Linked DNA regions of Callithrix jacchus. The main gene of each other region encodes a partner of the protein of the gene in region 2 in a complex. Links are inferred from orthologs where the notes say so. Each region holds a gene or a part of one and is shown on either strand. Other genes may lie near its edges.

Region 1 (3,811 bases), on a different chromosome or scaffold from region 2:
TGTGAGTGCTGTAAAGGGCTGCAAACGTCACCATGAAGAAAGTTGTGGAGTATTTGCCAGCATTAACTAAATGAGGAAAGGCCCTTTTTGTGTCTCGATATCGGCGCAGGCACTGGATGAAGCGAAGCCAAGCAGGAATGCACTGAACAATGGCCCGCACACCATATGTGTATTTGTGGCAAATTCCTGATTCTGTAAACATTTCAAAGAAGAAAAATTACAATTAAAAAAATAACTTCATTCACATCACTCAGCCATATAGTGTAGCCACTACCAAGCCTAAAAAAGCAAGAAACCTAGGTTTCAGAATCACTTTCTTCTTTGCAACTATTATACATCTCAAGCTTTTTTTTTTGAGACTGAGTCTCACTCTGTGGTCCAGACTGGAGTACAATGGCAAAAATCTCAGCTCACTGCAACCTCCACCTCCCGGGTTCCAGTGATTCTCTTGCCTCAGCCTTCGGAGTAGTTGGGATTACAGGTGCACACCAGCACACCAGCTAATTTTTGTATTTTTAGTAGAGATGGGGTTTCACTATGTTGGCCAGGCTGATCTCAAACTCTTGACCTCAAGTGATCCGCCCACCTCAGCCTCCCAAAGTGCTGGGATTACAGGCGTGAGCCACCGCGCCCAGCTTATTCTCAAGCATTTTAGTGGTGGATAAGTCAAGGAGAGAAGGTAAAACATATTGAGGGGAACTAGTGGGGAAATTTGAATCCGTCTCTTCGGAGTGTGATAAAACTGTAAGAAAATTAGAAGATGAGTATGCTAATAGAAGGAGGGAAAAATGGGTTGGCTCCGTAATTTGAAACATCTGGAAAACCTACAAGTATCACCAGTGATTCTAGACAATTCTGTAAATTCCAAACCACCAACAACACAAGACACCCAAGAGCACATGCTCTTGTACATCCACCTCCCCTTCTTTTTTAAACCAAGAACAAACTGTGTGTTTAAGTAAGAATGGAGTTGGTAAATCAATTTTTCTTTGAATTCTGAAATTCAGAATTGAGTATGATCGAACTATAACAGAGCTGTGATCCACTGGCAATCAATAAAAATGTGTCAGCACTGGCTTCATCATTAACTTTTGTTAGTCACATGTCACACAGTCGATCTAAATTAGATCTTTGTCATGAAGGCAAAATTCCTTAATAACTTGAACTCCTGACATAAACTAAGGGTGGGGAAAAAAGCTAGAAGAAAAATAGCATCCCAACTAAGAATTAAAAACCAATCTGTAATTACTCTCAAGGCACTTAATTTATTTCTAAATAATCAGTATTTTTGATCACTGGTATCTATGTTACATTATATAGCAATACTGTGACAACAAATTGTTGGCATGAAAGCATTTGCAATATAACTACCAATGTACTAGAACTTAACAAAAAAAGTTTTAGAATTCTTCAAGTGTAAGTTGTACATCTCTTGGCAAATGGACAGACAAATTATATCAGATAAAGAGACTGCTAACAGAATGCCAAGTACATTTAATTAAGTTTGTAATATTATTGGATAAGTTTCATCATGACCTTGATTTTCTCATTTAGCCTTCCCAATATTATCTTGGTTTACACTGGTAATTTAGTAATATAGACGCAAATTCATACCCTACCTTCTGAATTATTTGGCAACAGGCCCTTACTTTCATCCCATTTGAGCTCCAAACTGTAGAAGCAGATCATATATTCCAGGTCCATCAGTATCACTGACAGGCTGTTCAGCTGATCGGCCAGCCAGAAATCAGCAAAGCCTACCTTATGGAAGGGGGCTGTAAATACTCGAAACTGAGAAAAAAAAAAAAAAAATCAGAAAACATAGAAACAAGAAAAGTCATATTAAATTTCTCCATTTCATGTCTGACTGTTCAGCATGATTGCTTTAGTTGATAAAATGGAAACCAAATCAGTCATAAACACAGAGACCTGGCAACAGTGGCTAGGTTGTGAATTAGCAGTGAAGGGGAATGAGTTGAATGGGTAACAAAGAAAGGAAGTAAAGGAGGAAAAAAAGCAGGAATAACTAGTTATAACATAGAAAGCATGGGTGCTGCTAATTCTTTGCAAAAATCCAAATACTGTTAAGGGACCAGGGAGATACCACTACCTTCTAATTTTTCATCTAAAAATATACACGTTTATGTAAACAAATCTTTCCATACTCATAGCTACTTTTCAAGTATTTGAGTCTAAAGATTTTGTTCACACATTCTTATACCTGTTTAAACTGTTCACAATTATTACATACACATCAGCTATCAACTAAAGTTGTACTTTAAAAATTTACAATATGGACATTTCTAAGTCAAACACTTGTGACTTTGCTTTAATTCCATGAACGGTCAAACCTCCTTGATTTCTGTATTCATCTTTTTTTTCCTCAAGAGTGGAGGTATAACTGTGTGGTATTTATAAAAGATTCAAAAAGCCACAGTTAATGACAATAATGTTTCTTTGATCATAAAGAACTGATTAGTAATTCTTGCCTCTATTTTCCTGATAGCATATGACAAATGCTTCTAAGGTAAGAAAAAGAGAACAGATTAAAGACTGTGTAGTGGTTTGGATTTGGACAGATAGCTTAATTTTTAAATGAAGTTACAAATTATAATGTATTCATATTTGTACTTTCTGTTAAAATGCATGATTGGAGAATTATTTAGCTTCTGTGTTTATTATTGATGATAAGCTTTGTTTGTCTTTGTAGTTAAGTTTGCACTCACATCTTAACAAATAAATTCACCCATGTTATCAAAAAAAAAAAAAAAGAAGAAGAAGAAATAAAGAAGGAAAGAAAATAGAAGCCAGGCACGGTGGCTCATGCCTATAATCCCAGCACTTTGGGAGGCCAAGGTGGGCGGATCACGAGGCCAAGAGATTGAGACCATCCTGGCAAACATGGTGAAGCCCTGCCTCTATTAAAAATAGGAAAATTGGCTGGGCATGGTGGCACACGCCTGTAGTCTCAGCTACTTGGGAGGCTGAGATAGGAGAATCGCTTGAACCCAGAAGGTGGAGGTTGCAGTGAGCTGAGATCGTGTCATTGCACTCCAGTCTGGCAACAGAGCAAGACTCAGTCTCCAAAAAAAAAGAAAAGAAAAGAAAGAAAATTTCTAAAGCAAAGAGGTGGGAAGAGTTAAAGTTGAAAGCAGAGAGAATAGCAGAAGATAGAAGCTTTGAGAGGCTCTAAAGTTAGGAAGCTTTGCTGGAGATGCAAGTGCTATAATGTCTAGACTATTCTTCATCTTAGCTAACTGAATACAAAGTTCTTCTCTGCTTACAAAGGATAAGAAGGAAAGGACAGTATACCATATGAGACATGCCTCATTCTCTAACTAAAGTCACTTTCTTTTCACTAATGCCATGGTGATGGCTGTGTTCATCTTCAAATTACACAACAAAAACCAGCCCTCTTCTGACTGTTCTGAACACATGATAAAGGTATTAAATGTATTAAGCAGTAACTCAAACAGTATATTTTCTTCAAGGCTTATGCAGGCCTTAATTCAATCCTCATAACAATTCTATGAGCTAGGAACTATTCATATCCCCATTTTACAGAAGACCAACACAGACTCTTCCTAATCTATTTTGTGGAAACCTGTTTATCACTACAAAGGGAAATCTTGGCGTTGCAGCAAAGGGAAGTAGGCACCTAGGCAAATACCAGAAATAAGCCCAAATAGTGCAGATTGTCTTGATAAGCCTTGCATGAACATGGGATGAAGGAAGACTTAATCCTCAACCTATCAGATCCCTTTTTATCTTGTACAGGGGGAAATGTGATTCCTGAAACAAGAAATTCTGA
Region 2 (4,584 bases):
TACTCTAAGGTTGACTTCATCCTTATATCCTACTGACAGGGTTTGGCTCTGTGTCCCCACCCAAATCTCATCTCGACTTGTATTCCCCATAATCCCCTTGTGTCAAGGGAGGCACTTGGTGGGTGGTGATTGGATCATGGCATCGGTTTCCCCGTGCTGTTCTTGTGATAGTGAGTGAATTCTCATGAGATCTGTTAGATGTATAAGGGGCTTTTCTCCCTTTTGCTCTGCACTTCTCTTCCTGCAGCCATGTAAAGAATGATATATTTGCTTCCCTTTCTGCTATGATTGTAAGTTTCCTGAGACTTCCCCTGCCATGCAGAACTATGAGTCAATTATACTGCTTTTCTTTATAAATTTCCCTGTCTCAGGCAGTTCTTTATAGCAGTGTGAAAACAGACTAATACACCTACCACACTTCCAACCCCCCACCCCTGACCCATCCTCCCATGTTTACAACAGTGGCTGGCCTTAGCAAGCCGTTATTGAAGAACTCACACCATTTAGGACTTCACTGTACCCGGTGAGGTATTCACTCCTTGTTTCATGAGGAACACACCAACTTCTTTTTTTTTTTTAGACAGGGTCTCTGTTGCCCCGGCTGGAGTGCAGTGGTGTGATCTCAGCTCACTGCAGCTTTGAACTCCTGGGCTCAAGAGATCCTCTCACCTCTGCTTCCTAAGTAGCTGGGACTACAGGTGTGCAGCACCACACCCGGCTAAGTTTTGTATTTTGTGTGTGTGTGTGTATATATATATATATATATATATATATATATTTTTTTTTTTTTTTTTTTGAGACGGAGTTTCGCTCTTGTTACCAGGCTGGAGTGCAATGGCATGATCTCGGCTCACCGCAACCTCCGCCTCCTGGGTTCAGGCAATTCTCCTGCCTCAGCCTCCCGAGTAGCTGGGATTACAGGCACGTGCCACCATGCCCAGCTAATTTTTGTATTTATAGTAGAGACGGGGTTTCACCATGTTGACCAGGATGGTCTTGATCTCTTGACCTTGTGATCCACCCGCCTCGGCTTCCCAAAGTGCTGGGATTACAGGCGTGAGCCACCGCGCCCGGCTATATATATATTTTAAGAGATGTGGTATCTCCATGTTGTCCAGGTTGTTTTCAAACTCCTGAGCACAAGGCATCCCCCTGTCCTGGCCTCCCAAAGTGCTGGGGTTACAGGTGTAAGACCGTGTACCCAGCCCACACCAACTTCTGATGAAGCCAGGCTCCTTATTGGCTTTTTCCTGAGTTGCCAGGTTGACACATCAGTGGGTGCTTTTCGATGGTTCCCAACCTATGCACGTCGTAATCATCCGTGGATCTTTTAAAAAATCCAGACTGACGCTTGTTGGCAGCAAGGCCTAGGAATGTGGAGGCTGAAGGAGTGAGGGGAGGAGGTGGGAGCCTTGGAAGGCCAGGAATGTAAACCACAGGCTCTGTGGAAGGCGGAGGTCTTACCCGGAAGAAGGCTGCTAAGCAGGCTTTCATGTCTCATGAGTGTGCAGTGTCTTCTGAAGTTATAATTATTTCTCTGAAGAAGCTTGATTGTAATGGCAAATAGAGATCATAAATTAACTGTAATGAGGGTGACATTGACAGAGAAAAACCTTGTCCCGGGTGTCCCTGCCCCACGGCCCCTCCTGCCCCGCCTGCTCTACGCCCCTCCCCTCCACGCCCAGGGAGCGTGGCTACCCGGAGCCCCGCCCCTGCCCCAGGCCACGTGATCTGTCAGTTCGCTGAGAGGGAAGAATATGGCTGCCGGGTGTGGTGAGGGCGACGCGCTTGCAGTCGCTGTCTCTTGCTTTCCCGTCCTCTGACACCGCCTGCAGCCGAGCGGGCCGGTTCCGCCCGAGCTGAGGACCAGGTTGTGAGTCGGTCAGTGTGGAGGCCGGCTCGCGGGGCTTTGCCGCGGATGGGGGGGGAGGCGGGGCCGAGGCCGGGCTGGGGAGCCGGGTGGGTAGGTGGGACAGCCGGGGAGCGCGCGGGAGGGGCGCGCTGTGGCCGCGGGCCTCGGGTAGGGCCTGGCGCGGGCCCGGGACGCTCGGGCCCCGGCTTTCGGGCCGAGTCCGCGTTTGCTCGAGCGCCTGGAAGGTCTTCGGCTTTGGAATCTCAGGTGTTTTGTCTCCTCAGGGACCCGTAGGGTGGGCTGAGGTTAAGGGTGTTGGTAAAATCGTTTTTCTTTTTTCTTTTGCCAGGCAGCCTCTAGTGCATCCACCACCTCGAGAATCCCCCTCAGCTGGTACCGCTAGTCGTTATGGGTTTCTCTTCCTAGGCTTCCCTGGGCCGGGAGGTATTGTTTTCTCCCTCGCGGTCATCGTGGACTCCATTGCTCCATTGTCCTGTGCAGGCTTTTAAACGCCTTGACAACATGGTGCAAGCCATTGATTTCCGTGCTTTCAAGATTTATTTATAGGACAGTCGTTTCTTCACTCTGTAATCTTGGAATTTTTATTCTTTCAAGTCGGTAGGTTTAAACAGATGAAGATTTTTTTAATTAATAACTATGCAGTCATCTCTGCTCCCTATGGGCACGTGTTAAAAATGTAGATTTCTTAGCGTTTGAGAGATTCTCATTTTTTCGGCTAGAGGTGTGGCTCGGGAATCACCCCTTGAGTTTCATTCCTGTCCACATTTTGACAACACTGAGGACCAGACGTCTACACCGTTTTAAACCACCGTGGGTATTGCGTGCAGAGCCCGGGTTGGGAAATGCTGTGGCCAGGTGTGTTCTTTGTTCTCTTTGGCTCTACTCGCCTGGACTACTTTCATCATAATCATTTTGGGGTGCTTGTTAAAATGTCCGTTTCTGAGCACCGCCCCAAATCTAGGGAATGGGATTCTCTCGGGGAGGAGCTTAAGGGATATGTGTATTTGACAAGCTTCCCTATTAATTCTGATGCACATAAGTTTGAGAATCTTTGTTCTATACCCTTTATGTGAATGATTTCCAGATCTTTCACACACAGTGTGAACCATATATTTTTCCAAGTATTGGGTGGGTTTCTCAACCTAGCTCTTCTGGGGCATTTCAAATTCAGCCTAAGCACCCTATAGCCCCCTTCACCTAGCTGGGGTGGTGGGAGGGGGAGGCATAACTAAAGTAGAGAAAGGTCTCCTGCTCTTTTTTTTAATTTTTTTTGTTAAGGGCCGCTCCATTCTTCAGTCACCTCTGCTGGTCATCTGGTCATCTTCCACCTGTTCTTTCTTTTCCAATCTGTCACATGGTTAGTTTTTATATCCAGAATATCTCTTCTGGATATTTTGGTAGGTCAGAAAGTTTAAATATTGGGGATTTTATATTTTCGAGTTAGTATCTCTCGTTTCTTCTCCATTCCCACTGCCTCTTCTGTGTGCTATTTCGGTGGTTCTTCAGCTGGTATCTAGGGCCCTGATTCTTTGTTTTTCCAGTCTGGGTCACATACACTGCCAGGAGACTTATTTTTATAGGATCATGTATGAATGTGCCATCCCCTTCTTCCTGCTTTTGCTGAAGAACTGTCAGTTTCTCCATTTTATGTGCTACTGTATTAGTCAGGGCTGCTTACAAGTCAAAGAACAGAAACTTAATCTTTTACTTCAAGGAAAAGGAGATTATAGGATTGAACGAGGGTCAGAAGGAAGTCAGGAAGTCGCGGTGGCTCAAGCCTGTAATCCCAGCACTTTGGGAGGCCGAGGCAGGTGGATCACGAGGTCAAGAGATCGAGACCATCCTGGTCACCATTGTGAAACCCCATCTCTACTAAAAATACAAAAAATTTGCTGGGCATGGTGGCACGTGCCTGTAATCCCAGCTACTCGGGAGGCTGAGGCAGGAGAATTACCTGAACCCAGGAGGCAGAGGTTGCGGTGAGCCGAGATCGCGCCATTGCACTCCAGCCTGGGTAACAAGAGCGAAACTCCGTCTCAAAAAAAAAAAAAAGAAGTCAGGATCCCAAGTGGCTCCATTTTCTACATCTCCCTGGGGCAACTTTTTTTTGAGACCGGGTCTGGTAGTGTTGCCCAGGCTGGAGTGCCGTGATGTGATCTTGGTTCACTGCAGCCCTGACCTCCTCCTAGGGGCCATATTTGTTCTCTTAGGCAGAGTCCCTTTTCTGTTCATGTCTGTTGTGTTCTCTCTTTGCGACTGACTGTCTCAGAACTGTATCATTTTATAGGTGACCCATATTCGCTGACTCAGTTTCTGGTTTCTAATTCCCAGTTCTAGAGAGAGAGAAGTCTGATTGGCCCAGCTTATCTTTTTCAACAGTTTAATGCCATGGATCATAATATGCCCATCCCTGGGGATGGCTGATGGTAGAGAACGTGGCCATTGAGGGAACAGGAGCTGTGAGTGGGCAAAGTCCTCCAGAAGAGGCATCTTTAGTAAACCTATGCAGTTACTCAATTTGACAGTTTTCTATTACGTTTCTACTTGATCTAGATTTGTAATAGGTTCTGGGGATATAAGAATGAAGGAGAGAGAAAGCCCTTTGTAAATTAGTTTGAGGCCAGGCATGCTGGCTCACACCTGTAATCTCAGTGTTTTGGGAGGCCAAGGCAGGAGGATCACTTGAGGCTGGGAGTTCAAGAGCAGCCTTG

The links.
Region 1: the proteins of KIDINS220 (region 2) and XPR1 are in contact, whole or in part, in a cryo-EM structure (PDB 9JXQ), measured with the Homo sapiens proteins. The link is inferred for Callithrix jacchus from reciprocal best matches to the Homo sapiens genes KIDINS220 and XPR1. Residues at the interface, in NP_065789.1 of Homo sapiens: Glu36, Cys37, Gln39, Asp70, Trp72, Met102, Trp105, Trp110, Tyr113, Lys114, Val138, Ile142, Trp143, Gly146, Arg147, Ser166, Asp167, Lys168, Tyr169, Gly170, Trp176, Arg179, Lys180, Gln198, Glu199, Gly200, Ala201, Ser203, Lys234, Arg267; in NP_004727.2 of Homo sapiens: Leu95, Lys189, Lys190, Gln193, Glu197, Ala200, Asn204, Glu205, Ala636, Asp637, Asp638, Leu641, Leu642, Gln644, Met645, Met646, Asp647, Gln648, Asp649, Asp650, Val652, Arg653, Asn654, Arg655.

What each region holds. Positions count from the first base shown.
Region 1 is NC_133519.1:22,601,725-22,605,535, forward strand, and holds part of XPR1 (solute carrier family 53 member 1), read right to left. Parts: intron 1,792-3,811; coding exon 1,620-1,791; intron 193-1,619; coding exon 1-192. UniProt on the Homo sapiens protein: Inorganic ion transporter that mediates phosphate ion export across plasma membrane.
Region 2 is NC_133515.1:106,106,009-106,110,592, forward strand, and holds the start of KIDINS220 (kinase D-interacting substrate of 220 kDa), read left to right. Parts: upstream 1-1,736; 5' UTR 1,737-1,881; intron 1,882-4,584. UniProt on the Homo sapiens protein: Promotes a prolonged MAP-kinase signaling by neurotrophins through activation of a Rap1-dependent mechanism. Provides a docking site for the CRKL-C3G complex, resulting in Rap1-dependent sustained ERK activation.